Anolis sagrei: one gene and its partners. The protein of the gene in region 4 purifies or fractionates together with the protein of the main gene of each other region. This does not show direct contact. Links are inferred from orthologs where the notes say so. Each region holds a gene or a part of one and is shown on either strand. Other genes may lie near its edges. The genes, in order: COPS8, UBXN7, ARIH1 and CUL2.

What was found.
Region 1: the proteins of CUL2 (region 4) and COPS8 purify together in Homo sapiens (affinity purification with mass spectrometry; 4 studies listed by BioGRID and IntAct, counting the BioPlex papers as one, with this or other methods). This does not show direct contact. The link is inferred for Anolis sagrei from reciprocal best matches to the Homo sapiens genes CUL2 and COPS8.
Region 2: the proteins of CUL2 (region 4) and UBXN7 purify together in Homo sapiens (affinity purification with mass spectrometry; 6 studies listed by BioGRID and IntAct, with this or other methods). This does not show direct contact. The link is inferred for Anolis sagrei from reciprocal best matches to the Homo sapiens genes CUL2 and UBXN7.
Region 3: the proteins of CUL2 (region 4) and ARIH1 purify together in Homo sapiens (affinity purification with western blotting; 3 studies listed by BioGRID and IntAct, with this or other methods). This does not show direct contact. The link is inferred for Anolis sagrei from reciprocal best matches to the Homo sapiens genes CUL2 and ARIH1.

The regions. Positions count from the first base shown.
Region 1 is NC_090021.1:163,148,411-163,156,225, reverse strand, and holds the start of COPS8 (COP9 signalosome complex subunit 8), read right to left. Parts: upstream 3,011-7,815; 5' UTR 2,926-3,010; coding exon 2,839-2,925; intron 2,598-2,838; exon of another isoform or gene 2,391-2,597; coding exon of another isoform or gene 2,388-2,390; intron 1-2,387. UniProt on the Homo sapiens protein: Component of the COP9 signalosome complex (CSN), a complex involved in various cellular and developmental processes.
Region 2 is NC_090023.1:226,435,259-226,443,098, forward strand, and holds the start of UBXN7 (UBX domain-containing protein 7), read left to right. Parts: upstream 1-4,831; 5' UTR 4,832-4,903; coding exon 4,904-4,976; intron 4,977-7,840. Other genes in the region: E3 ubiquitin-protein ligase RNF168, read left to right, coding at 1-789. UniProt on the Homo sapiens protein: Ubiquitin-binding adapter that links a subset of NEDD8-associated cullin ring ligases (CRLs) to the segregase VCP/p97, to regulate turnover of their ubiquitination substrates.
Region 3 is NC_090029.1:26,571,668-26,578,666, reverse strand, and holds the start of ARIH1 (E3 ubiquitin-protein ligase ARIH1), read right to left. Parts: upstream 3,017-6,999; 5' UTR 2,719-3,016; coding exon 2,317-2,718; intron 1-2,316. UniProt on the Homo sapiens protein: E3 ubiquitin-protein ligase, which catalyzes ubiquitination of target proteins together with ubiquitin-conjugating enzyme E2 UBE2L3.
Region 4 is NC_090026.1:114,119,537-114,127,299, forward strand, and holds the start of CUL2 (cullin-2), read right to left. Parts: upstream 3,010-7,763; 5' UTR 2,593-3,009; intron 1-2,592.

The DNA of each region.
Region 1 (7,815 bases), on a different chromosome or scaffold from region 4:
CAAATCAACAAAACTCACAAACCCCCCAACGAAACTTAACCAAAATTCCCATGCCCATAACACAACCCATAAGGTACAAACATATCTACTCAAAATGAAAAACAACACAACAACACACTCACAAAATGGCAAAACAACTGAGCATGCGCATTGGTGCCCAGCCGCAAGTTCCCTGGCGCGCGCACACAGTTCCCTCTGCGGAAGCCATGCCCACTCCAAGCCCCGCCGCGCCGCTTCCCGCACACACACCCCCGCCGCACGCACACACACAACCCCACGCTCCATCACTCCCCCGCCGCACACACACACGCAACCCCACGCTCCATCACTCCCCCACCGCCACACACACACGCGCAACCCCACTCCCCCCCGCTGCCGCACACACACACGCAACCCCACGCTCCATCACTCCCCCCGCTGCCGCACACACACACACAACCTCACGCTCCATCACTCGCCTGCCCCAATCTTACCTCCTTTTACTTCATGCCACCTCCAAACCCCACCGCACCCCTTCCCGCCCTGTCAAAATCCAGGAAAGACAGGAAGGAAGGAAAGAAGGAAGAAAGAGAAAGGGAGATAAAGAAAAGGGGGAAGGAAGGAAAGTTAGAGAAAGAAGGAAGAAGAAAAGGAAAGATGGAAGGAAAGAAAAGAGAGACAGCAGAAGAGAAAGAAAAAGGGGGAAGGAAGGAAAGAGGTAGAGAAGGAAGAAATGAGAGACAGAGGGAGGGAAAGAAAAAGGGGGAAGGAAGGAAGGAGAGAAGGAAAGAAAAAAGGGAATGAAGGAAGGAAAGAGGGAGTGAAGGAAGGGGGAAGATGTAGAGAAAGAGGGAGGGAAGGAAAGAAGGAAAGAGAGAAGGAAGGAAAGAGGCCAGAAGAGAAAGAAAAAGGGGGAAGGAAGGAGATAGAGAAGGAAGAGGAGAAGGAAAGATGGGAGGGAAGGAAGGAAGGAGGGAAAGAAGGAGAGAAAGAGGGAAGGTTGGTCACAGCAACACGTGGCGGGTAAAGGTTGTTATTTCTATGATTATTATGATGCTATTATTCCTATGAGACCCTTTTAGGGGGAATGGGAGAGGTGTCAGGTCCCGGAGGCAATGCATTGCATTATTGTTATTGTTATGATGCTGGTGAAATAAAAGGAAATAAAAAGTGAAAGAAGGAAGCAAACAGGGAGGGAAGAAAGGCAAAGGAAGAAAGGGGGAGGGAATGAAGGAAAGAGAGAAGGATGAAACCAAGTAGTGAAAGAAAGAAAGAGGTAGAGAAGGAAGAAAGGAGAGAAAGGGGGAGGAAAAGGGGGAAGGAATAGGTAGGGACCTCTCTTTCATAATAGTCCAGATATCTACCTCAACTTTGATAAGTTTTACTATAGGCCACAGCAACGCGTGGCAGGGCACAGCTATACAAATACCAAGAAGATCACATCTCATGAGATGTTTTTCTCTAATCTGAGTTTCTCAAACTGTATTCCTCCAGATGTTTTGGACTTCAGATCCCACAATTCCTAACAGCTGGTAAACTGTTAGCATTTTTGAGATCTGAAGTCCAAAAGACCTGGAAGAGCAGAGCTAGTTTGAGAAACGCTGCTCTTCATTCATATGAATTTCTTTGAAATCACGGCAACTGTGTTTTAAAAACTATAGGTGCATCCATACTGTGGAAGGAATGCAGTTTGAGAAAGTTTATACACTACCATATAAAATGTGGCTCTTAATGAGACATGCCGTATTATCATGGGGTGTCTGCGCCCTACACCACTGGAGAAATTACACTGCTTAGCTGGTATTGCACCACCTGACATCTGCCGGGAAGTAGCAGCCAATAGTGAAAGGACCAAGGCAGAGACATCTCCAGCTCATCCCCTGTTTGGGTATCAGCCAGCACGTCAACGACTTAAATCAAGAAATAGTTTTCCAAGATCTACAGAGACACTCGCTGGAACACCTCAGCAAGCGATAGTCCAAAAGTGGCAGGCTCAAACCCAGAACCTCAACCGATGGCTGATACCAAATGAGAGACTCCCCCCTGGGAACACAGAAAACTGGGCGACTTGGAAGGCGCTGAACAGACTGCACTCTGGCACCACGAGATGCAGAACCAACCTTCAGAAATGGGGCTACAAAGTGGAATCCACGACATGCGAGTGTGGAGAGGAGCAAACCACTGACCACCTGCTGTGATGCACCGTGAGCCCTGCCACATGCACAATGGAGGACCTTCTTGCAGCAACACCAGAAGCACTTCAAGTGGCCAGATACTGGTCAAAGGACATTTAATCAACTACCAAACTCACAAATTTTGTATTTTGTCTGTTTGTTTGCTTTGTTATGTTAGAAATGTAATATAATTGATTGGTTGCACTGACACGACAAATAATAATAAATAAATACCATATAAATCCAGACTATCTTCTTTGAACTGGATTATTTAGCAATGTAGACTCATATAATCGAAGCAAATATTGTGGACTATCTGCTTTGATAATGTGGATTATATAGCAGTGAAGGGGACACCACATGGCTGAATGCTCTGGAATCACAGTGTTTGTAGTTTATTGAAACACTCGGCAGAGGAGGCTAAAAGGCCTTGTAGAACTACCACTTCCATGCGTCCCAGAATTAAGCCATGGTAGCCAACCGCACTCATTCTAGCATGTGTCCATAGAGGAACTGGTGAGGGCGGCCCATTCATTCCCACTTTGCTCCTTCGGCCTAGGGAAACCCCGGCTTTCAGGCGAGACGGTCAAACCCTGGGTTTGTGAGGGTGACGAGGAGGGCCCCGTCCCAGACTCGAAAGCGAGAGGCGAGGAAAGCCTATTCCACGCCCGGTTCCCTTCCTGACCTCCAGCTCCTGAGTCTCGCATTGCTCCAGCAGCTTCCGGTAGCTGAAGGCGCCACTCGCCGCCGCCGCCATCACGGCCACTGGCATCTTCGCACCCTGTCCCACTCCCGCCGATGAAGCGGGAAGACGGGTGCTTCCTGGAGACGGAGGTGGGACCACCGCACGCTGCTACGTACTTCCGGCCTCACCGTGGTGACGTCTCCCCAATCCTCTCCAGCGATTCGCCAGTTTGTGACGAGCGGGTCCCGCTTTAGGAGAACGCTCAGGACCATAGAGATAGAAAAAGGGAAGAATGCCGCGTGACCCGCATTTAAAGTTTTAGCCGGTTGATAGTGCATCTAAAATAGCAGGGGTCCACAAACTTTTTAAACAGAGGGCCAGGTCACAGTCATAGAATCATAGAATCAAAGGGTTGGAAGAGACCTCATGGGCCATCCAGTCCAACCCCCTGCCAAGAAGCAGGAATATTGCATTCAAAGCATCCCTGACAGATGGCCATCCAGCCTCTGCTTAAAAGCTTCCAAAGAAGGAGCCTCCACCACACTCCGGGGCAGAGAGTTCCACTGCTGAACGGCTCTCACAGTCAGGAAGTTCTTCCTCATGTTCAGATGGAATCTCCTCTCTTGTAGTTTGAAGCCATTGTTCCGCGTTCTAGTCTCCAAGGAAGCAGAAAACAAGCTTGCTCCCTCCTCCCCGTGGCTTCCTCTCACATATTTATACATGGCTATCATATCTCCTCTCAGCCTTCTCTTCTTCAGGCTAAACATGAGCCTCAAGCCGCTCCTCATAGGCTTGTTCTCCAGACCCTTGATCATTTTAGTCACCCTCCTCTGGACACATAGAATCATAGAATCAAAGAGTTGGAAGAGACCTCATGGGCCATCCAGTCCAACCCCCTGCCAAGAAGCAGGAATATTGCATTCAAATCACCCCTGACAGATGGCTATCCAGCCTCTGTTTAAAAGCTTCCAAAGAAGGAGCCTCCACCACACTCCGGGGCAGAGAGTTCCACTGCTGAACGGCTCTCACAGTCAGGAAGTTCTTCCTTATGTTCAGATGAAATCTCTTCTCTTGTAGTTTGAAGCCATTGTTTCATGTCCTAGTCTTCAGGGAAGCAGAAAACAAGCTTGCTCCCTCCTCCATGTGGCTTCCTCTCACATATTTATACATGGCTATCATATCTCCTCTCAGCCTTCTCTTCTTCAGGCTAAACATGCCCAGCTCCTTAAGCCGCTCCTCATAGGCTTGTTCTCCAGACCCTCAGTCTCCCTCAGTCCCTCAAACTTGGAGGGCCGGATTATAATTTGAAAAAAAAAACATGAGTGAATTCATATGTACAGTGCACATATATTAACTGTAATGCAAAAAACACGTAAAATTAATATAATAATTAAAATGAAGAACAATTTTAACAAATATAAGCTTATTAGTATTTCAATGAGAAGTGTGGACCTGCTTTTGGCTGATGAGATAGGATTGTTGTTATTGTGTGCTTTCAAGTCGTTTCAGACTTAGATTGACTCTGAGCGAGGAACAGGTAAATGACCTTGGAGGGTCGTATTTAGCCCCCAGGCCTTAGTTTGAGGACCCCTGTACTATAGAATTCACTGTGACTTCACTTCACTTCACTTTATTTCTTAATTAGTCGTTCTCCACCAAGGGGCTCCGAGCGACTTACAATCTAAAATAGCATTTACACAATATAAAAACATTCAACATAAAAACATACAACAGTGACTATTTGGCAAATTAGATCTGATTACTTAAATGCACAACCAACCAAGTCTTGTGTGCCTTTACAAAAGGTCGCAACTCCGACATTGCTCTAATGTATGGAGGCAATGAGTTCCACAGAATTGGAGCATAGGTCGAAAAAGCTCTACGCTTTGTAGTGTTAGAAACCCTAAATTGGGTCGTTTTAGGTCCACGTTGCAGGAGCACGGAAGGAAGAAGACAGTCCCAATGAAAGATTAAAAAACAAGGTTTTATTTTAGTTTCTTCATGAAGAAGACGGACAGCCGGGCAGCATGCGCAGATGCTACCCTTCAAATGACTGCCGTGCCCCCTTGGCTTTTGACCACCAAATATATAACCTCAAGTAAACAAGAACATTTTTTGTCATGGAAAAGTACTCCCTTTCCACCCCCCTCTCTTGACTTTTTGATGGAAAGTACCTTCTTGTATATGCAGCCTCTGCGCTTCAAAAACAACATTTGAAGTTAACCACAAGCATCCTGTGTAAGAAAGTTCCCTCTTGTACTTAAAAACATTTTCTTCCGTATCCTGGCAATCCAGACAACTTAGACAATTGGATTATGTTGGCCAGGAGAGTGAAATACAACAAAGAGCAGATGCCGCGTCGTTCCAGAGAGGAGGGCCGTACCAGGCATCCAGCGGTGGGTCAAGCCGGAGGGATGTGACACCCTTCCCCAAGAGGCTGGTCGATGAGCAGAGAGAGGAAGGGAAGGCGAGGGACATGCTTCACATGTGGGTGCGAGGGCCGGTGGTGGCAGAATGCCCAAAAGGAACAAGCCTGATCATGGGTGATAAACCCCCCAGCCAAAAACCATCACCTGCTCCCAAAGTTGCAAAAGGGAAGGCCTCCACTGCAACAGCAACGGCTTTAGTTCCCGCCCATCTCCCTGCCGAAGAGGTTGAGCTGGAGGAAGGAGAAATGGAGAGCTGGTTGCAGGGAAATGACAGCGATCTGCTTTAGGCACCTGATTTTTTTTTGTCATGTCAGGAGTGACTTGAGAAACTGCAAGTCGCTTCTGGTGTGAGAGAATTGTCAGTCTTCAAGGACACCCGGATGATTTGATGTTTTTATCATCCTTGTGGGAGGCTTCTCTCATGACCCCGTATGAGAAACTGGAGCTGATAGAGGGAACTCATCCGCCTCTCCCCGGATTCGAACCCACTGCGCCACCAGGGGCTCCTTCTTAAGACAAGTTTTAATATGGGTATTTTAAAGAATGTTTTTAGATGAAAGTATGGTTTAACAATGTTGTAACCCACCTCAAGCCATGAGGAGAGGAGGGTAAGAAATAATAATAATAATAATAATAATAATAATAATAATAATAATGCAGCATATATCTCTCATTTGCTGTGACATACTGTGTTTTTGTGTCAGTCAAATAATAGTGTTGTATGATACAACTTTGATTGGCATGGCTCAGTGCTGTGGAAACATGAGAGTTCACTAATAGTCAACACGGATTTAGCAAAAACAAGTCATGCCAGACTAATCCGATCTCTTTTTTCGATAGAGTTACAAGCTGGGCAGATGTGGGGAATGCCATGGATGTAGCGTACCTGGATTTCAGTAAAGCCTTCGACAAGGTCCCCCATGACCTTCTGGCAAACAAACTAGTCCAATGCGGGCTAGGCAAAACTACGGTGAGGTGGACCAGTAATTGGTTAAGCGGACGAACCCAGAGGGTGCTCACCAATGCTTCCTCTTCATCCTGGAAAGAAGTGACAAGCGAAGTGCCACAAGCAGGGCTCTGTCCTGGGCCCTGTTCAACATCTTTATTAATGACTTAGACGAAGGGTTAGAAGGCAGGATCATTAAGTTTTGAGATGACACCAAATTGGGAGGGATAGCCAGTACTCCAGAGGACAGGAGAATTCAAAATGATCTTAACAGATTAGAGAGATGGGCCAAAACTAACAAAATGAAATTCAACAGGGACAAATGCAAGATACTCCACTTAGGGAGAAAAAATGAAATGCAAAGATACAGAATGGGGGACGCCTAGCTTGAGAGCAGTATGTGTGAAAAAGATCTTGGAGTTCTCATGGACAACAATTCCGATGAGATGCCACATAACACCAATCTTACTGCAGCTGCATTGGTTACCAATTGAGCACCGGATCACTTTCAAAGTGATGGTACTTACCTTTAAGGCCTTGCATGGTCGGGGGCTGATGTACCTGAGGAACCGCCACACCCCCTACCAACCCCAGAGATCCCTCCATTCTGAGGACCAAGATTTGTTGGAAATTCCCAATGTCAAGACCTTGTGTCTAACAGTAACCAGACGCAGAGCCTTTACAGCAGTGGCACCATCACGCTGGAATACTCTGCCACCTGAAGTCCGTGCCTTGAGGGACTTATCAGCTTTCTGCAGGGCATGTAAGACATACCTGTTTCGACAGGCCTTTGATTTTTGATATTGCTGTTTTTAAATTGTTGTAAATTGTTTTTAAATCGTGTTAGATTTTAGCCTGTTCTTGTAAGCCACTCCGAGCCCCAGGGGAGTGGCAGTATATAAGTTCGAATAATTAATAAATAAATAAACATGAGCCAACAATGTGATGTGGCGGCAAAAAAAGCCAATGGGATTTTGGCCTGCATCAATAGGAGTATAGTGTCTAGATCCAGGGATGTCATGCTACCCACGCTCTATTCTGCCTTGGTTAGACCACATCTGGAATATTGTGTCCAATTCTGGGCACCACAATTGAAGAGAGATATTGACAAGCTGGAATGCCCACTTTTAATTGCCCCTAACACCAGTGATCATAATTAATGAAAGCTTATATTGGGCTACTGTGATTTTTTTAAATCTTATCTTGTTTGAATTGTTAAAACTTGAACTTACTCAATCACATTTAATTAATGGTGCAGATGAATTAGAAGTGGATAACAACAAGCAAGATATAGACAAACTCCAGAGTCATTTTAATGGTAGCTTAAAGTGCTGGAAAGCTGAGCTGCTCCTGCGAGCAGGAAAGGACAATTCATCTTGACTCCTAATTGCTACTGGAGCTGAAAAGAAAATAAATGGATTGTCATGTTAAAAACATTGTCATTTCTTATTATTTCTTCATTTATGTTATATCCCTGCCTTTTCCCTTAGTTAGCCTTTGCCTTTTCAATCCACACTTTGTATTTATCTCCTTGGTTCTCTTTCTACTATCATTTCTAAGAATATTTCAAGTAAAGGAAGAGGTAGGTGTTTAAAGATAAGG
Region 2 (7,840 bases), on a different chromosome or scaffold from region 4:
GGACTTGCTAGTGTCACATATAGGGAAGACTGTGAAACTATGTGTCTTTTCTCAAAGAGCGGTATGGCTGGTTATGATGTAAAAAAAGACAATTTTACAGGAAACCTGGATTGGCCAAACCATCCAGGAAATGCTGCTCCCCAGGAAACACTTATTTCTGTAACATCTGATAGCCAGCAAGACTGTAGCATTCCAACTTGCAACCAAGTAACAATGGAAAATAAAAATGAGTCACTAAAACTGATTACTACAGGGATTCCTAAGAGAAAATCTCAAGAATCACCCTCCGAAGCAGTGGTGGATTTGGTTATGAATGATAAAAGAAGAAGAACTTTTGCACAAATAGATGATGAAGATATGTATGATATACAACAACAAATACATTTGGAGCAGAAAATTTATGAAAGATATAAGCAAGAAGAAGAAGATAGACTTCTAGCTCTGAAGCTTCAGAGGGAAGTAGACAAAGAACAGAAAACACTAAACCGCAAAAAAGGCTCTCCAGATGAGTACCATTTACGCCCTAAAACATCTCAGTCCGAAAAGGAATCTCCGGTGCTTAGGAAACCTTGCAAGAATAGCCAGACTGACAGAGAACAACGAAAATTACGAAGAAGCTCTCATAATGAGAACCAGAAGCCCTCTAACAAACTTCAGACAAAGTCATCTCCAAAAGGAGGGAATGTTTTGAACTGTGTCCTTAACAGCCCTGCCTCTAAGAGTTCAGCATTATTGCCAAGCAAACAAAAAACGATCGTTCAGATGTTTAAGAGACCTGCAACCAACTAGCAGATCAATAGTTGATGTGAAGAATTATAGTATAGAAAGGGATTAAACAATGGACTTTGTCTTGAAAAATTGATCAGCTCCTCCCACTTACGTGGTTGAAAACCAGTAGTGCCTGCTCTGTAGCTGTTAGGTATGACTTCTTTTTCCTTCCTAGTACATGTATGGCATTAGGTAATTCTGAATGCCAGGAATATTTGCTTTAAGCTTCATGTACTATACATCTGGTAGTTTAGTGTCAGAATATGTAAACAAAGCAACTCCCTGTTACACCTCTACCTTGTAAATATATCAGAAAAGAGCAAATGGCTTTGATTTAGACTGGAGCATAATTTCTGATGCATTTATAGAAATATACTACCATTCCTGCTGTTTGTTTTGTTTACAAGTTACAAGATTTATATGTTAAATATTCCAGAAATCTTTCTCTATGGATGTTTGCAACAGATTACAAAGATGCCTTCAGGTATTCCCAAGTAGACTAGTTTTTCAGATTCATCAGTTTATAATTTGTTTAGAACATCATCAATTAAAATGACTTTTAAGTCTCTTGAGATTACAAATGTAGTGTCAATGGACTTCTTCTGAATGCATTTTGAAATATCTTTAGAAATTACTGGGAGTCAGAAGCTGTATTTGGATATATACACATAATGAGGTTTCTTGGAGATGATATCCAAGTCTATACACAAAATCATGTATGTCTCTTATACATCATATACCCATAGACTGAAGGTTATTTTATATAATATTTATAATTACTGTATTTCTTCAATTCTAAGATATACTTTTTCTGTGTAAATATCTCTAAAAATAGGGCGTGTCTTAAAATAGCAGGTGTGTATGTTATATATTTTTGTTGGTGGTGGTGCTGGTACTGAAATTAAACTGTGGCTTACACTCAGTGACATCTTACAATTGAAGAAATAGAAAACTTTATACATTAAACAAAATTTGTGTACAGTGAAATATCAGAAAGCAAAGATATTGCACAGTCAAGGCATCCGTGTGGGCCCTTTGGGATCCTGGAATATTTTGAGCATTCTGGAAATGGAATGCTCAAAATTATATTTATTAATTGAAGTACTTCTGCATACCTTTTCAACCCACAAAGTGAACAAATAAAAAGAAATTGGACAATACTGAGATTAAAAAATAAACATGCACTGAAATATTCTTCAACCCCTAAAAGCATGCTAAAATAACTCTGGAATCCATTTTTGAAATGATTAACTATGACTTTTTGACACTGAATACCATGTGGAACCAGTTTTTGTCTGTCTACTGCAGTGGTTCCCAACTTTTTTTTTTAACTAGGGACCACTCTCCAACGTTAGTATCAAAAGGGTTACTAATCAGTTTTTGATCAACTTTAGATTCGGTTTGGTTATTTGGGGTGCCAGTTCAGAAAATTGCATTGGATAGACCACATCTGCTCTAGTATCTGATACAGAACATACACCCAGTAGTCTCCATCTGCTTGCCCACAGAAAACCATATTTAATAATCTAGAGCTGATGTGGTAGTAGTAATTTTTTGTGGGTAGTCAGCCTCTCCCCTGTCAACATCCCCATTGCCTCACCATGAGACCAGTCACTCTCGTTGCCACGTGGTTTCAAGGCAATAGTGTAGTAATGGTGAGGCAGCTGATCATATTTTCATTCTTGCGGGCCACAGGTTGGGAACAACTAGTCTACCCGAAAGAAGTGAAGTCAGCCAAACTTCCTTGGGTAGGCAGCTCCCTAGTAGAGGTGCTGCCATAGGGAAATCCTTTACATGTAACCACCAACCTTGTGAATACAAACAGGATGTCTTCCAAAAATCTCAAATTTCTGGAAAAATCATAAGGCTAGAGATCTGCTATATCGGGGGGGGGGGGGCATTGTCTGCCCTCACAGGATTGTTGTCAGCTCCCTCACTAAAAACACCAAGCAAAGTGGACTTGCACTTGTTTCACACTCCACAAGTATAGCACTACAGGCCCTTTTTATTTGCTATGGCTGCTTCCAAAGAATCCAGGCATTTGTAGTTCGGCGTAGCTCTAGAATTCTCTTAAAAGAAAACTTGAAATACACCTCAAAATTCCAAATGTCACAGGTCCATAGAATGGAGCCAGGGGAGTGAAAGTGGCATCATAGTGCTATAACTAGTGTAAAAGATAACTTGAAGTCTTCAGATCAGCGCATTTTCCCAATTGGGTGTCCCTGAATGACAAGAATACGAACAACCTTTTTCAGTGGAACATGAAGAGAACAACAACTGTACACTCAATTTGATCCTTTCCACATCTGAATTATCAGATCACCAGCCTTGAAATCATCTACACCAGGCATGGGCAAACTTGGGCCTTCAGGTGTTTTGGACTTCAACTCCCATAATTCCGAACAGCTTCAGGCCCCTTCCTTTCCCCCTATATCTCATTAAATACATGACACAGTATATAAAATGGTAAAATCAAAGTTTTATTTTTGATTTTTTTAAAAAAAAAATCAAGCCATTGACAGTGGAATACATGGATGTGGAATTTGTGGATATGGAGGACCAGCTGTATATATAAATACAGATATTCCAAAACTCCTGATCCCAATTATTTATTTACTTACTTACTAGTAGTTATTAAAACTAGTAGTTAGGTTTTAATAACTACTTGTATTGGTTTTTAGTTTAGATTTTAAAATTTGTTGATGTTTGAAGTGTATAACCCCATGTTGTGATCTGGTCATTGATCATAATAAACTACTTACTTACTGTATTTATATCCCGCCCTTCTCGACCCTGAAGGGGACTCAAGGCAGCTTACAGTAGAGGCAAAATTCAATGCCTTAAGCAATTCAACAATTAAATATTTTGTTAAAATCTAAACGAGGTTAAAAGCATTTATTTATTTATTTATTTCATACACTTTGACTCCACCCTTCTCCCCCCAAGAGGGGACTCAGGGCAGCCTCACATAAACATTGTATGATGCTATCATCATATAAATAATAAACAATTACAATAAAACATTAAAACAATTCACTAAACAGTAAATTAGTCACGCTAGTTAAAACCAAATCCAAGTCTGGGAATTAAATCAATGTCGTAGTATCCAATTTTTCTTTCCAATTACTGCTGTCCACTAATTGCACGCCTGGTCCCAAAGCAAAGTCTTCAATTTTCTTCTAAAGGACAGGACAATTAAACATAAACAATACCCCTTACAGCTATAGAATCAAAGAGTTGGAAGAGGCCTCATGGGCCATCCAGTCCAACCCCCTGCCAAGAAGCAGGAATACTGCATTCAAATCACCCCTGACAGATGGCCATCCAGCCTCTGTTTAAAAGCTTCAAAAGAAGGAGCCTCCACCACACTCCAGGGCAGAGAGTTCCACTGCTGAACGGCTCTCACAGTCAGGAAGTTTTTCCTCATGTTCAGATGGAATCCCCTCTCTTGTAGTTTGAAGCCATTGTTCCGCGTCCTAGTCTCCAAGGAAGCAGAAAACAAGCTTGCTCCCTCCTTCCTATGACTTCCTCTGACGTATTTATACATGGCTATCATATCTCCTCACAGCCTTCTCTTCTTCAGGCTAAACATGCCCAGCTCCTTAAGCCGCTCCTCATAGGGCTTGTTCTTCAGACCCTTTATCATTTTAGTCGCCCTCCTCTGGACACATTCCAGCTTGTAAAATCCAGCTTGTAAAATCACGTTACCCACAATCAAGTATTTTGGATATGAAAAACTCAAACTTTATTTGAGAAACATCAGCTACAAATACCAGTGTACAGCTGAGAAGAAAAAGGAAAGGGCCTGAGGCTGTTAGGGATTGTGGGAGCTGAAGTCCAAAACACCTGGAGGAAGGCCCAAGTTTGCCCGTGCCTGCTCTCACGCCTCCTTTTTCTCAGTTTGGGGATTGGGTTCCGCCGGCCACTAGGGGGTGTCACGAGCTGGGAGGACCTGATAGCAAAAAGTTTAGCAAAGAGGGGCGGTGCTTGCGTGCTTTCCTCTTCCGGTGCTCAATACAGCCTGATGTTGAAATTGAAAGCTCGCCGGACGAATCGGGGCGCGGCGTTGTTTGCGCCTGCGCGGTGGGGTCGGCAGGTGGCGGGTCGGTGTTGTTCGGGGGAGAGCGGCGGCAAGATGGCGGCGCCCGGGGGCTCCGCTGCCGCCTCGGCGCTGAAGGGGTTACTCCAGCAATTCACCGCTATCACGGGTGAGCCGCACGAGCTGGGGAGGCCTTTGCGCTTTTGGGGAGCAGAAAGGAGAGAGAGTTTGGGGGAAAGAAAAGAAGGGGGTGGGGGCCCCCTCTCTCTCTCCCTCAATTGGGGCCTTGTGGTAGAAGCCGAGGCGCTGCCGAGTCTAGAGAAGTGCCTGTTGCGTAGGAGGAGCGGGAGGGACATTCCATTGGAGGAAAGGCGGGGCTGTTGTGTTGGAGAGGAAGGCGATGGGCACTCAGGCAGGCCACACACAGGGCAGCGCAGTGGGACAGTCTCCCCTCAAGCCCTGCTCTGTGTTGGGGAGCATCCAGGATGAAGGCAGTTTCACGCCACTTGAACTGTCATGGCTCAACGCTATTGCATTATGGGAGCTGTAGTTTAACAAGGCATTTAGATTTCTCGGTCAGAAAGTGCCGTAAATGAATACAGTTTCACACCACTTATAATGTAATTTCACAAGGCCTTTAGGTATTGTCAGAGAGTGCCATAAATGAATACAGTTTCATGCCACTTGAACTGTCATGGCTCAATGCTGTGGAATCATGGAAGTTGTAGTTTAACAAGGCATTTAGCTTTCTCTGTCAGAAAGTGCCAAAAATGAATGCAGTTTCACGCCACTTGACCTGACATGGCTCTATGCTATGGAATCACGGGAGCTGTAGTTTCACAAGGCCTTTAGGCTTTGTCAGAGAGTGCCATAAATGAATACAATTTCATGCCTCTTGAACTGTCACGGCTCAATGCTATTGCATTATGGGGGGGGGGGGTGTAGTTTAACAAGGCATTTAGCTTTTTCTGTCAGAAAGTGCCATAAATGAATACAATTTCATGCCACTTGAACTGTCATGGCTCAATGCTGTTGCATTATGGGAGTTTAACAAGGCATTTAGATGCTGTGGAATCATGGGAGTTGTAGTTTAACAGGGCATTTAGCTTTCTCTGTCAGAAAGTGCCGTAAATGAATGCAGTTTCACACCACTTGACCTGACATGGCTCCATGCTATGGAAATATGGGAGCTGTAATTTCACAAGGCCTTTAGGTTTTGTCAGAGAGTGCCATAAATGATTACAGTTTGATACCTCTTGAACTCTCATGGCTCAATGCTGTTGCATTATGGGAGTTGTAGTTTAACAAGGCATTTAGATTTCTCGGTCAGAAAGTGCCGTAAATGAATGCAGTTTCACACCACTTGTAATGTAATTTCACAAAATCTTTAGGTATTGTCAGAGAGTGCCATAAATGAATACAGTTTCATGCCACTTGAACTGTCATGGCTCAATGCTGTGGAATCGTGGGAGTTGTAGTTTAACAAGGCATTTAGCTTTTAGATTTCTCTGTCAGAAAGTGCCAGAAATGAATGCAGTTTCACACCACTTGATCCGATATGGCTCTATGCTGTGGAATTATGGGAGCTGTAGTTTCACAAGGCCTTTAGGCTTTGTCGGAGAGTGCCATAAATGAATACAGTTTCATACCACTTGAACTCTCATGGCTCAAGGCTGTTGCATTCTGGGAGTTGTAGTTTAACAAGGCATTTAGATTTCTCTGTCAGAGAGTGCTGCACATGAATGCATTTTCATGCCACTTGAACTGTCATGACTCAAATGCTGTTGCATTATGGGAGTTGTAGTTTAACAAGGCATTTAGATTTCTCTGTCAGAGAATGCAGTACATGAATGCAGTTTCACGCCACTTGAACTATCATGACTCAATGCTGTGGAATCATGGGAGTTGTAGTTTAACAAGGCATTTAGCATTCTCTTTCAGAAAATGCCGTAAATGAATGCAGTTTCACACTACTTGAACTCTCATGGCTCCATGCTATGGAATCATGGGAGTTGTAATTTCACAAGGTCTTTAGACTTCTCTTGTCAGAGAGTGCTGTACATGAATGCGTTTTGATACCACTTCAACTGCCAAGACAATGCTGTAGAATCATGGGAGTTGTAGTTTGGTGAGGCACCAGCATTCTTTAGCATTGATGGCTAAAGACCTTGTGAAACTCCAACTCCCATGATTTCACGGGAGTTTGTCACCAGTTGGCACTTCATAACATAGAAATCATGGGAGTTGTCACCAGTTGGCACTTACGCTATTCTCTCTCTCTCTCTCTTTCTCCCTTTTAATTATTATTATTATTATTATTATCATTATTATTATATTTATTTATATCCTGCTTTATCTCCCCCGAAGGAGACTCAGCATAGGTATTTAAAATACACAAATATACGAACATTAAAACAGCATTAAATATAACTAGTATTTAAAAATTCCCAGTCAAAAATCATTAAAACAAATTCAAAGCCTCCATGCTGAGACAGAGCTTTCCAGACATTTCATGTTGGTAACACATGTTTTAGACATGTATCACTTCATGGCACAGGAATAATAATAGTAGTAGTAGTAGTAGTAGTAGTAATGATAAACTTTATTTATATCCCACCATTATTTCCATGAAGGGATTTGGGGCAGTTTACAAAGGCACTCCAGGGTGCACACAACAGGTAAAAACAGTACATAAGTATAAAACAAGTCACATGAAATTATAACAACAACCCCTGTCAACACAGATAGCATAAAATCAAAATAATACAATTTTTAAAACAACAGATAAAACTAGCTACCATCAATTCACAAAGTACCAAGTCTTAACTTCATATGGGCCCATTCAGCCTACTCGAATTCAAAAGCCTGTTTGAACAGCCATGTTTTCAGGTTGGAACGGAAGGATTGAAGGGTGCGGGCTAATCTAATCTCTTTTGGGAGGGTATTCCAGAGCCGAGGGAGTCACCACCAAGAAGGCCCTCTCTCTTGTCCCCACCAACCGCGCTTGAGATGGTTTTACTAACAAACCAGAAG
Region 3 (6,999 bases), on a different chromosome or scaffold from region 4:
AATTACAAGGAAAGCAAAGAGATGCGGGAACAGGAGGAGAAAAGAGGAGAGTAGGAGAGAAAGAAACAGAAGGAGGTGAGGGAGAGGTTCAAACAGGCACCAAGTGTTTTGGACTACAACTCCCACAATTCCAATCAGTCTGGTCTAAGAGTGGGATATAAATAATTAGATTTCTATTATTTATAGGAAAGAGATGAAGGAAGAGGAGGAGAGGAGGAGAGAAAGAAACAGAAGGTGGTGAGGGAGAGGTTCGAACAGGCACCCAAGTGTTTTGGACTAAAACTCCCACATTTCCAATCAGTCTGGTCTAAGAGTGGGATATAAATAATTAGATTTATATGATTTATAGGAAAGAGATGAAGGAAGAACAGGAGGAAAGAGGAGAGTAGAGAAAGCAAGGGAGGATGGGAGGGAGAAGAAAGGTGTGCCTGGAGGAGGAGGTACCATGTCAACCCTCCTGTTCAAGGAGCTCCACTGGCTGCTGTTTATTTTCCGAGCCCAATCTAAGGTGCAGGTGCTTACCTACAAAGCCCTAAACGGTTTGGGACCATCCTACCTGTGTGACCGCATCTCAGTGTATGAACCCACGCGCTCACTTCATTCATCTGGTGAGGCCCTGCTCGCAATTCCGCCTGCATTGCAGGCGCGTCTGGTGGGGATGCGAGACAGGGCCTTTTCCGTGGTGGCCCCCCAACTCTGGAACACCCTCCCCAAAGATCTTAGACAGGTCCCTACGTTGGCAGTCTTTAGAAAGAACTTGAAGACCTGGCTGTTCCGATGTGCCTTTCCAGAATAGCAATCCTCCAACAAGTCCCAGAAGCACTTTATTAGAAATTAAGATTGCTGGCACACTGCACTTACCCCATTATCCTTACATATCACCTGTCACATCAGCACTTTTGATCTGTACCCAATACTCTGGCCTGGCCCAGTTTTATTGTGTCTTGGTGTATTGTCTTATTGCTTGTTGTTGAATATTGCTTTACTGTTTTTAATTTGCTTTAGGTTGTGTATTGTTATGTTGTGTTTTGAGGCCTTGGCCTTTGTAAGCCGCATCAAGTCCTTCGGGAGATGCTAGCGGGGTACAAATAAAGTTAATAATAATAATTAAAAAATGTGTTTTGGACTACAACTCCCACAATTCTAATCAGACTGGTTCAAGAGTTGGATATAAAGAACTAGAAGGATAGGAAAGAGATACAGAAAGAGGTCGAGAAAAGCGGAGAGTAGAGAAAGCAAGGGAGGGTGGGAGGGAGAAGAAAGGCATGCCTGGAGGAGGCGGAGGTACCAAGTGTTTTGGACTACAACTCCCACAAACCCTATCAATCTGGTTCAAGAGTTGGATATAAAGAATTAGAAGGATAGGAAAGAGATGAAGAAAGAGGAGGAGAAAAGAGGAGAGTAGAGAAAGTGAGGGAAGATGGGAGGGAGAAGAAAGGTGTGCCAGGAGGAGGTACCAAGTGTTTTGGACTACAACTCCCACAACTCTCTGTATGTTTTGATATGGTCAAAATTGACTAATCAATAAAGAATTGTTGAGTGTCACAACTCCCACAATTCCTATCAGTCTGGTTCAAGAGTTGGATATAAAGAATTAGAAGGATAGGAAAGAGATGCAGGAAAAGGAGGAGAGTAGAGAAACCAAGGGAGGGTTTGAGGAAGAAGAAAGGAATGCCTGGAGGAGGAGGAACAAAGTGTTTTGGACTACAACTCCCACAATTCCTATCAGTCTGGTTCAAGAGTTGGATATAAAGAATTAGAAGGATAGGAAAGAGATGCAGGAAAAGGAGAAAAGAAGGGAGTTGAGAAAGCAAGGGAGGGAGAAGAAAGGTGTGCCAGGAGGAGAAGGTACCATGTGTTTTGCACTACAACTCCCACAATTCTCTGTATGTTTTGATATGGTCAAAATTGACTAATCAATAAAGAATTGTTGAGCGTCACAACTCCCACAATTCCTATCAATCTGGTTCAAGAGTTGGATATAAAGAATTAGAAGGATAGGAAAAGAATGCAGAAAGAGGAGAGTTGAGAAAGCAAGGGAGAAGAAAGGCATGCCTGGAGGGGGAGGAACCAAGTGTTTTGGACCACAACTCCCACAATTCCTATCAGTCTGATTCAAGAGTTGGATGGAAAGAATTAGAAGGATAGGAAAGAGATGCAGGAAAAGGTGAAGAGAAAGCAAGGGAGGGAGGGTTGGAGGGAGAAGAAAGGCATGCCTGGAGGAGGAGGAGGCCTCCCTCCTTCCTTCCACCCCTCCATCCCTCCTTCCTTCCCGCCGAGGGAGCGCGCCCCCGCCGCCCGCCCCTGCGCGCGCACCTGGATGACCTCGTTGACCTCCCGGATGCACTCCACCATGTGCTGCAGGATCTGCTCGGCCGTGAGCACCTCGTAGCGGTAGTCCTCCTCCTGGTCGTGGCCTAGTCCCCCTCCGGAGCCGGGCCCGCCCAGGCCGCTGCTTCCCCCGAGGCCTCCTCCTCCTCCGCCGCCGCCTCCCCCTCCTCCGGGCCCGAGGCCTCCCCCGCCGGTCTCTCCGCCGAGTAGGCCGTCCCTCTCTCCGCCCACGCCGGGCTCGACCAGCTCCACCTCGCCCAGGTCCAGGTTGCCGTCGTCGGGGTCGTCGTCGGGGTCGTCGTCGTCGTCGTCCTCCTCAGCGCCGCTGTCCTCGCTGCACTCCTCGTCCTCGTCGAACTCGTAGTTGTAGCCCTCGTCCGAGTCCATGGTGGCGGCGAGAAAGGGGAGGAGGAGGAGGCCGCTGAGGCCTAGGCCGAGGAGGAGGAGCGAAGGCGCCGGGCAGGCCCCGGCTGAGGGACTGACGGGAGGATGGGAGGGAGGGACGCGAGGGAGGGCTGCGGCCTAGCCCGCCTTCCTTCCTGCCTGCCTGCCTGCCTGCCTTCCTTCGGCGGAGCGATTCCCCAAAGCCGCCTCCTCCTCTGCCAGGCGCCGCTGAGCCAACAAAGGGACGCGTCCGGCCCGCTCCGTCACCTCCACGCACGCACGTCAGCGCGGACGGGGACGCAACCCCACGCCGCGTGTGGCGTCACGACGCCGCCGCCGCGCCGAAGGGCGGGAAGGGAACGCAACACGCCCCGCCCCCTTTCGCCTCCTCAAGCGCAGTCCGTCGGCAGCCATCTTGAGTGTGGCACGAAAGGGAACCACCAGCCTGCCTTGCCGCCGCCATCTTGTGGAGCCGGAGGGCGCGCCTTCTTCAACCGACTCTCAGGAAGGGAGTGGCTGCGGCCCACCATCTTGGGTGTGGCACAGCGAAAGGGGATGACATTTATAAATTGGCATGGGGGAAGGGCCAGCCGAGTTGGCTTATTGTATGTATATAGATATATATTGTATGCATATACATATATGTGTGTGTGTGTGTGTATACATATATATTGTATGTATATACAATATTTATTACTTATATATAATATTATTTTATATTATATAATAACATATATATAATATATATAATATATTATATAATACTTATTGTATGTATATAGATGGATGTCCGCCACCTTTGGCTGCAAAGGATGTAGTCAATCTGATTTCGGTGTTGACCGTCTGGTGAAGTCCAGGTGTAAAGCCGTCTTTTAGGTTGTTGGAAGAGAGTATTCGTTATACACAGCGAGTTTTCCTGGCAAAATTCTATCAGCCTGCGTCCCGCTTCATTTTGTTCTCCCAGACCATGCTTGCCTGTGATCCCTGTTGTCATTTGACTTCCCACCTTGGCATTCCAGTCTCCTGTAATGAAAGTAATGTCTCTTTTTGGTGTATTATCCAGTAGGTCCTGCAGATCCTCATAGAACTGATCTACTTCTGCTTCTTCAGCAGCTGTGGTTGGGGCGTATATTTGGATCACTGTGGCGGACATCCATCCAGTCGGTGAAAACAAGACCTGGGGCTGACTGTAGCTCAGATCACGAACTTCTTATTGCTCAATTTAGAACAAAACTAAAGAGATCAGGGAAAATACACAGACCAGTTAGATATGATCTTACTAACATTCTTAGCGAATATACAGTGGAAGTGAAGAACAGATTTGAAGGACTAGATTTAGTAAACAGAGTCCCAGAAGAACTATGGACAGAAGTCCGAGACATTGTTCAGGAGGCGGCAACAAAGTACGTCCCAAAGAAAAAGAAAACAAAGAAGGCAAAATGGTTGTCTGCTGAGACACTGGAAGTAGCCCAAGAAAGGAGGAAAGCAAAAGGAAACAGGGATAAGGGAAGATATGCCCAGTTAAATGCGCAATTCCAGAGGTTAGCCAGAAGAGATAAGGAACTATTTTTAAATAAGCAATGCATGGAAGTGGAAGAAGACAACAGAATAGGAAGGACAATTTCTTTTCCAGAAAATTAGAAACATTGGAGGTAAATTTTAGGCAAAAATTGGTATGATAAGAAACAAAGATGGCAGGGACCTAACAGAAGCTGAAGAGATCAAGAGAAGGTGGCGAGACTATACAGAAGATCTGTATAGGAAGGATAACAATATCGAGGATAGCTTTGACGGTGTGGTGAATGAATTAGAACCAGACATCCTGAGGAGTGAGGTTGAAAGGGCCTTAAGAAGCATTGCTAACAACAAGGCAGCAGGAGACGACGGGATCCCAGCTGAACTGTTTAAAATCTTAAAAGATGATGCTGTCAAGGTGATGCATGCCATATGCCGGCAAATATGGAAAACACAAGAATGGCCATCAGACTGGAAAAAATCAACTTATATCCCCATACCAAAAAAAGGGAAATGCGAAAGACTGCTCAAACTTCCGTACAGTGGCCCTGATCTCTCATGCCAGTAAGGTAATGCTCAAGATCCTGCAAGGAAGACTCCAGCAATACATGGAGCGAGAGTTGCCAGATGTTCAAGCTGGGTTTAGAAAAGGCAGAGGAACGAGAGACCAGATTGCCAATATCCGCTGGATAATGGGGAAAGGCAGGGAGTTTCAGAAAAACATCTACTTCTGCTTCATTGACTATTCTAAAGCCTTTGACTGTGTGGATCATAATAAATTGTGGCAAGTTCTTAGTGGGATGGGCATCCCAAGCCACCTTGTCTCTCTCCTGAGGAATCTGTACAAGGACCAAGTAGCAACAGTCAGAACTGACCACAGAACAACAGACTGGTTCAAGATTGGGAAAGGCGTACGGCAAGGCTGCATCCTCTCACCCAACCTTTTTAACTTGTATGCAGAACACATCATGCGATGTGCGGGGCTTGATGAATGCAAGGCTGGGGTGAAAATTGCTGGAAGAAACATTAACAACCTCAGATATGCAGATGACACCACTCTGATGGCCGAAAGCGAGGAGGAGTTGAGGAGCCTTCTAATCGAGGTGAAAGAAGAAAGCGCAAAAGCCGGGTTGCAGCTAAACATCAAAAAAACCAAGATTATGGCAACAAGAATGATTGACAACTGGAAAATAGAGGGAGAAAATGTGGAGGCCGTGACAGACTTTCCATTTCTAGGCGCAAAGATTACTGCAGATGCAGACTGTGGCCAGGAAATCAGAAGACGCTTACTTCTTGGGAGGAGAGCAATGTCCAGTCTCGATAACATAGTAAAGAGTAGAGACATCAGACTGGCAACAAAGATCCGCCTAGTCAAAGCCATGGTATTCCCTGTAGTCACCTACGGATGTGAGAGCTGGACCTTAGGGAAGGCTGAGCGAAGGAAGATCGATGCTTTTGAGCTGTGGTGTTGGAGGAAAGTGCTGAGAGTGCCTTGGACTGCGAGAAGATCCAACCAGTCCATCCTCCAGGAAATAAAGCCCGACTGCTCACTGGAGGGAAGGATACTAGAGACAAAGTTGAAGTACTTTGGCCACATCATGAGGAGACAGCAAAGCCTGGAGAAGACAATGATGCTGGGGAAAGTGGAAGGCAAAAGGAAGAGGGGCCCACCAAGGGCAAGATGGATGGATGGCATCCTTGAAGTGACTGGACTGACCTTGAAGGAGCTGGGGGTGGTGACGGCCAACAGGGAGCTCTGGCGTGGGCTGGTCCATGAGATCACGAAGAGTCGGAGACGACTGAACGAATGAACAACAACATATGGTATACTGCATATTTATATTTATATATAGACATATATGAAAAACTATATAATATACCGCCTCTCTCAGCCCGAAGGCAATTCGGGTTGGCCTAGTTTCTCATGTGCGTATATATGTTTGTGTATATAGATATATATACTTGAGCACACAACATATACACAACACATATATCACATATATACACATATATAAATATGCAAAATACTATACATAACTATATAAACAGTCAACATATATGCATATACACACAACACATAGCTTTTCATATATATGTCTATATAAGTGCAGTATTCTATATATATATAGAAGCACGATATTTGTGTTATGTGTATATGTATGTATATGTTTTGTGTATATATACATACCTATACCACACATAAACACACAACACATCGTTTTTAATATATATGTCTATATATAGACATTTATATTTATATCTATGTCTATATATAAATATACAGTATACTATACATACCTATATATGCACACAACATATATATATATATGCATACACAACACCAAACATAGTTATTCATATATGTCTATATATAAATATAAATATGCAGTATACCATACATATATATATATACACATAATCTATGCATATATATGTTGTATATAACACACACCTCATATATACACACAAACACATTATTTTTCATATATATGTCTATATAGAGACATATATAGACATAAATATGCAGTGCACTATATATGTTGTGTATGTGTATATGTGTGTGTGTTGTGTATAGTATATATGTGTGTTTATGTATAATATATTGCATATTTATATTTATATAAAGCTATATGTATGAAAAACTATATATATATATTTCTATTTTTGTGAGTGTTGCAATTATTTATTTGATGCTTTCTCTCTCTCTATATATATATATGTATATATATATATGCTCACACACACACATAGTATGTGAGTCCCAAAAGT
Region 4 (7,763 bases):
CAGTTCATGGAGATATTTCAAAATCTAAAAGGAGTAATACCTAGAGTTAAAGATAATGCGACAAACTTAACTTTTGTTGTTGTTACTACAGTTTCCAGTTGGTGACTGGGAATAAAGGTATTGCACTCCTGACTTATGATATGTAGCAGTCAGAATCCCCCCCCCCCCCTTTTTGTATGTACATCATTCCAAGAGCCTTTCTAAAAGAGGTTTCCTAGAACAGCATAGCTCAAAGTGATAGTACTTGTGCCATTTTGAGTCACTGAATGCTGGTCTTTGGTGAATTTGAAAGAAAGACAGAGAGACATAATTGTAGCTAATGGACACACATAGGATACCAGTCCCCTAGGAAAAACTGCTGATTTTCCATGCCAGGATTCTTGAGAAGAACTGACCTAGAATACACACAGGTGATACAATAATTATGTTTGCTACAGCTGTTCATACCTTTAATTCAGGCCTCTACAGATAATTTCTGTAGATTTTCTTTTTTGAAGCAAAAAGAGCTCTGAATTAAACAAATATGCTATGGATGTTTTAAGGTTCCAAATTATAGATACAAACTGTAAATAAATGGCAGCTAGTTGTTTTGAAGAGCAAAACATCTATATTGTTTTGCTGAGATAATGTAATGAATCATTAGAACTAGAAGGGCTCCATAAGTCACGGCATCTAACCAACTCCCATCTCTAGCAGGTAGCTTGTCCAGTCTCTTTCTGAAGATTCCCAGAGAAACAGATTCCATCATATTTCTAGGTAGATTATTCCAGTCCTGGACAGCTCTTAAGAACTTTTTTCTAATGTTCAATGAAAATCTATTCTCCTACCTTCAAACCATTTAAACCTGGTCCTATGTTCAACGGTATCAGAGAACAAACCTGAATGAGTTTGCTATGGGGTCACAAGTAAGTTGTACTTCCTACTCCCAGGATTCCTATAACCATCACTTTTTATCTCATTTTATGACCTGAAATGAAAGCAAACCAGAAATGGTGGATTGAACAGCATCATCCCTTCCTCCAGTCGTTCAGTGATATATACTACAGACTTCTTGTGGTTTCTGAAGCGAGAACAAGGAGCCTACTTGACTACAACACATCTAAGTTATTTTCATAAATGCCTGGACTCATAAGGCTGAATCCAGACTAAGCTAGATGAGCTTTGAAGTTTCACTGGTTTCAATGGAGCCTAACTTTGTCTGAACCCAACCTGCAGCGATGCAAAGAAAGTGCATGAAACGTATTACCTATAAGTATTTTGACAGGCAACAAGCAACACAGAGAGAGAAAAGAAGAGCAAAGGATTGCTGTGAGTTTTCCAGGATGCATGGCCATGTTCCAGAAGCATTCTCTCCTGATGTTTCACCCACATCTATAATAATAATAATCAAACCTTTATTTCTAGACTACCCTCTCATCATAAAGTTTATACATACAAAAAGGCAAGCATTCAATGCCTCAAGTGAGTAAAACATATCAAAATAATACACAATAAAGCATCCTCAAAGTTTGTGAGGTTTGTTGGAAACTAGACAAGTTTGGGTGGCCCCCCAACTGTGGAACACCCTTTCAAAAGATCTTAGACAGGCCCCTACATTGGCAGTCTTTAGAAAGAACTTGAAGACCTGGCTGTTCCGATGTGCCTTTCCAGATTAGAAATCTCCAATACGAAGTCCCAGAAGCACTTTAGTAGAACTAAGATTGCTGCACACTGCACTTACCCTATAATCCCACATACCTCCTGTCACATCAGCACTTTTAATCTTGTACCCATTACTCTGGCCCGGCCCAGTTTTATAGTGTCTTGATGTATTGTTTATTGCTTGTTGTTAATATTGCTTTAACTGTTTTTAATTTGCTTTAGGTGTTGTATTGTTATGTTGAGTTTTGAGGCCTTGGCCTATGTAAGCCGCATCGAGTCCTTCGGGAGATGCTAGCGGGGTACAAATAAAGTTAATAAATAATAATATATAATAGACAAGTGGTGTTTATATATCTGTGGAATGTCCAGGGTGGGAGAAAGAACCCTTGTCTGCAGTTGCTGGGGTTTATAGTTCACCTACAATCAAAGAGAATTCTGAACCCCACCAACGATACAATTGGCCCAAACTTCCCATGCAGAACCCCCTCGACCTACAGAAAATACTGTGTTTTCTGAAGGTCTTTGGCGACTCCTCTGACAACCCCCCCACCCCCCACCCCCGCAACCCCTAGGTTGAGAACCACTGGTCTATAGGGTAGGCCTGGGCAAACTTGGGTATTTTGGACTTCAACTCCCACCATTCCTAACAGCCTACTACAGCTCCCAGAAGCCCCTGGCAGGCTGGAGGCTTCTGGGAGCTGTAGTAGGCTGTTAGGAATGGTGGGAGTTGAAGTCCAAAACACCTGGAGGGCCCAAGTTTGCCCAGATCTACTATAGTAGAGAGATATAGTGAGAGGGGGAGGAGGCCAAAGTCGGGCCATGGTGTTGCAGGGAAAGAATGCACGGGGCGCCCCAGAGGAGGAGGAAGAGGCGGCCAAGGGGTGTGGGGAGGGAGGGAGGGGGGGTCAGAAGGCGGGGTCCCTCCCCTCCTTCCTTCCTTCGCGGGGTTACCTGGCAACAGGAGAGGCCCGGGCCCGCGTCGTCTCCCCGTCCTCCCCCTCCGCCGTCTCTCTCTCTGTCTCTCTCTCTCTGGCCGCCCCGAAGCCTCTTCACTGGGCTGCCATTACCCAGCCGCCACGGCTGCCCGTTGACCCCGCCCACTGCCTTCCCAGCAGCCCGGCGCAACCGCGAAGCAGGCGAGGAAAAGAGGGAGGGAAGGCGGGAGTTCTGGCAGCCGACAAGGAGCCGGCCTTCTCTCCTTCTCTCCCTCTCAAGACTTCTATTCTGGACGCGCCACAGCCTCCATCTAAGTCGACTAGGTCAGGCTCCGTGAGAAGAGGTGCACGCCTTGGCCTTCCTCCCCCGCCGAGCATGAAGAGAATTGGTACTTCCTGAACTACGGAAAGCGCCGAGGGCCAACCTGCTGGCCCACTTCCGCTCCGGCAAATTAAATAAATAAGTGAGAGCTTCCTTCGGATGGAAAGGGGAGGGGAGTGCGCATGCGCTGAAGGCTTCTTCGGCTTTCTCAATGTAACGGGAGACGGAGAAGATTGTTATTGAATGGAGGTGAAATGTGGAGGTTTGTCGACGTCGAAGGGAGCGAGGAGGATGGAGGAGAGGCCTTTGAAGACACGAGGAGGGACTGAGAGGGAGAGGAGAGGCCGCAGCCCTTAGGCTTCCCCGAATGGCCTGTGTGGTCGAAGGATTTCATGGCCGGAATCACTGGGTGGCTGTCAGTTTTCAGGACTGTCTGGCCATGTCGCAGAAACATTCTCTCCTGACGTTTCGCCCACATCTATGGCAGGCATCCTCAGAGGGTGTGAAGTCTGTTGGAAACTAGGCAAGTGAGGATTATCTATCTGTGGGATGTCCAGGATGGAAGAAAACTCTTGTCTGCTTGAGGCAAGTGTGAATGTTGCAATTGTCCACCTTGATTAGTATTGAATAGCATTGCAGCTTCAAAGCCTGGGGGATCCTTTGTTGGGAGGTGTTAGCTGGCCCTGAATGTTTCCTGTCTGGAATTCCCTGTTTTGTGGGTGTTGTTCTTTATTGGTTGTGTCTTCAGGGGGTTGTGTCGGCGTATGGCATTCCCATGAATTGCTGGTCGCATCTGTGGCCAGAAGCGACCAGCAATTCATGGGATTGGGCGACTGGGCGACTTGGAAGGCATTGAACAGACTGCGCTCTGGCACCACGAGATGCAGAGCCAACCTTCAGAAATGGAGCTACAAAGTAGAATCCTCGACATGCGAGTGTGGAGAAGAGCAAACCACTGACCACCTGCTGCAATGCAACCTGAGCCCAGCCACATGCACAATGGAGGACCTTCTTGCAGCAACACCAGAAGCACTCCAAGTGGCCAGATACTGGTCAAAGGACATTTAACCAGCTACCAAACTCACAAGTTGTGTATTTTTCTGTTTGTTTGCTTTGTTCTGTTAGAAATGTAATATAATGGACTGGCTGCTCTGACACGACAAATAAATTCCCATGAATTTAAATTGTGAGTTTTCCTATAATAATAATAATAATACTTTATTTATGGTCTATAGGGTAGGCATGAGCAAACTTGGGCCCTCCAGGTGTTTTGGACTTCAACTCCCACCATTCCTAACAGCCTACTACAGCTCCCTGAAGCTCCTATGCAAGAAAAGATTGTCACCGGCAAAAGTATGACAGCTGGGATTCTACAGTAGTAGTTGGAAACCTTCGCTGGTTGCGCAATGCGGGGCAGAATTAATGAAGGGAAGACATGCACAAAGCGGGTCAGAAAAGATGGGTGGGGGACAACAAACAGCCAAGCATACTGCTTAAGGCGAGTGAAGTACCTTAGAGTTATTTACTGTTAAATTATAAACAATGGCTTACGAAGATGGTAAACGGGGTAGAAATGTTTCCTCTCCGCCTTTCTGGCGAGCAAAGTTCCCAGGACTCTGACGCAGCTGCGTCTCTCACTCGCTCTGCTGTCTTGTGCACCTCTTCCCTTCCTTAATTCAGAGCCGTGTTATGTAACTAGGGTAGCGTTGAGTCCCAGCTATCATACTTTTGCTGTCACTTCTTTTCTCCAAAATATACCCTGTCCCATGAAGCCCCTGGGAGTACAATGGGTTAAACTCTTGTGCCGGCAGGACTGAAGACCGACAGGTTGGAGGTTCAAATCCAGGGAGAGCAGGTTGAGTTCCCTCTATCAGCTCCAGCTCTCAATGTGGGGACATGAGAGTACCCTCCCACATGGATGGTAAAACATCAAAACATCCAGGTGTCCCCTGGGCAATGTCCTTGCAGACGGCCAATTCTCTCACTTGCAAATTCTCAAGTTGCTCAGGACACAGAAAAAAAACCCTGTCCTATCAACATAGTTATGAAGATTGGCCCTGCTCAGTTTCCAATATCGGAAGGGATCTGATGCCTTCAGGAGGGAGGTAAAATGCCTTATTAATCTGTATGGCTAGGCTCATATGCATTTATAGCAAGATTCAGAAGGCCTCGTGTTGCTTTGGGGACGGTGGAGGGATAGTTCATAGTAAAGGTAGGCCCTAGATGAAATGCAGCCCCATTCTATTTTGGCAGTTTCATGAAGGTTTCATGAAGATGGTTTCATGATGGTTTCATGAAGATATTATTATTAATAACAATAATAATAATAATAATATCTTCATGAAACCATCATAAGCAACTTTTATGGAGGTACATTTTATTGTGTGTATTTGTAGTGTTTTGCTGCATTTATGTATTTTAATTGTTTTGTAACCTGCCTTGAGCCATGAGGAGAGGTGGGTATTTATTTATCGTATCAGGAGCGAACCAATGTATTTGAGAAAGCAAATGAACTTTCACTGCTTGGGGTACCGTCATTTTGAAGGCAAAGTTTTAAAAACTTGGCATTCTATTAAATGTCCATTGACTAGTAGCTGGCCACTTGCAGTCCTCTGGTGTTGCTATAAAAAGATGCTCCATTGTGAATGTGGCAGGGCTTAGGCTGCATTTAAATAGGTGGTCTGTGGTTTGCGGGTAAGAAATTATTATTAAATTATTATCCATCCTGACCGATTGTTTTCCAGATGAAGAGTCTTGGAAGTGGGTCCATAAATGACTGTGAACTTTTCTGAATCCACACAGTCTTTCACATTGAGGATATGGGTTTCCAGATGGAAAGCAGTCAGAACAAAGGTTTACTTGACTTGACTCACCTTCCTCTTGGTGCGTTTCTCCTTTTCACTTTCCCAGTGTTGCCTCCAAAATGGCAATATCCCAAGCAGTGATAGTTCATTTGCTTTTATAGTTTCACAGGGTTGTGCCACCCTTTTGGGGCTTCTCTCCATCACTGTCAGACTGAGTTGGTTAAGACAATCAGGCAATTTCACATCAAGGTCTGTATCCTCTACTCTGCACCCTCCTTTTGTCTAGTTCTTATCAGTAGGAACTTGTTTCAAACCCACCATGTGCAATGCTAGCGCTGATGTCAATGGGGCAGGGTAGGGTCCAGCGAGCTTCTGGCTTAATAAGGCCATTTTTGTCTAGCAGGGCGGGTTATGGGATTCTCACAATAGATTCAAACCCTGGTCTGCCAGTGTCCTAGTCCAACATGCAGACCACTATGCTACCGCAGCTGTCCCATATCTGATTTTGTCGTAAGAAAGCCTTCTGAGTATCTGACTACTGGGTGGGTTGGAGTCCTCACTAAGGGGCCATCTGCACTTACCATTTAATGCCGTTTCAAACTGATATTGAAGAATATGGTTCTAATGTCTAGAACATTTGATTCTTCAGAGGCAAGAAAGGACCTTCTCAGAATCTTAAGACTAAGAACATCTGTAACTTCAAAAGCTTGGTTTAATAAATGTTGTTGAAAATTGAATATAGTCAAAATTGTAGACACAAGAAGAATTTTTTTACATTCTTTTTTTCTGCATCCTTCTTTGTGTCCTCATACAGATAAATAAAGAATTCTGCACTTAATATTCACCACTGGATTCTCGTAGCCACATTGTTACTATTAGGTAAAGGTTTCTCCTGACATTAAGTCAAGTCATGTCTGACTCCGGGTGGTGGTGTTCATCTCCATTTCGAAGCTGAAGAGCTGGAGTTGTCCACAGACACCCTCAAAGGTCATGTGGCCAGCATGACTGCATGGAGCACCATTATTATTATTAGTCAACAAAAACTCTTTTTTCTGGAACAAATGAACTATTCTTTATTCACCTTTCCCAAACAAATCTATGCTTCAGTTTAGCCTTTCCCAAGGTAGCATTTTCCAGAAGCATTGGACTATACCTCCCATATTCCTTAGTTGTTGGATTGGGATTTGTAGTCCTACATGTCTAGAAAGTATTACGTCCAAGAAGGCAATCGCGAAAATACTTTTAAAGGAGTCAAAACAAAAATACCACTAGGTGGCAACCTAACACACCTTCTATACAACTCTAACTCCTTTAAAAATCAGTCCTCAACACAGGAAATCTTGTTCCTCAATATCAGCAAATTAGTTTCCAATCTTTTGGAAATCCACTGCATTTCAGAAGTGAGAAAACTAAGTGTTCTTGAGATTAAAAAAGTATAGAAAATGTAGGGCAGTGACAAAACTATAGTCTTTCTTAGGCTGGTTTCTATAGTATTCTTGGCGTTGTTTGGCATTGAGCCATGACACTTACATTTGTGTCAGACTGCATGAATTCTACAGTGTAAATGCTCCCATAGTCTTTATTTATTCGAAAGTTGCACCCCTGCCACATTTTGAGAGGATGATTCAAGGTTTTTAGCCTTCCCTGCCAAAGAGTGTGTATTTAACCAAACTACATCTCCCAGGATTCCACAAAATTAAGCCATGGCAGTTATGATTTCTCAAACAGCATTAATTCTACAGTATAGGTGCATCCTGTGTCTTGAGACTGAACTGGACTGAAAAAACTGCTTGTATTGTGCCCAGGAGAGTCAGATTTTTTTAAAAAATGAATGGCAATAGGCACAAATCAAAGGCCAAAACAGATCGCTCTTGATTTGTCCCTATTTTGATTTTTTTAAAATCTCAAGCTACAGTTGTGAAAGTAAGCCATTTAATCCACTAAATGTGAAGAGACTACAAAACTGTAAGCAACTATTACCCAGCAGTAACAGTTAATTTTGATTTTTGCGTTGAGAGAACTGTCTCATGACACACTTGACCTCATGGTACTTACCAGCAG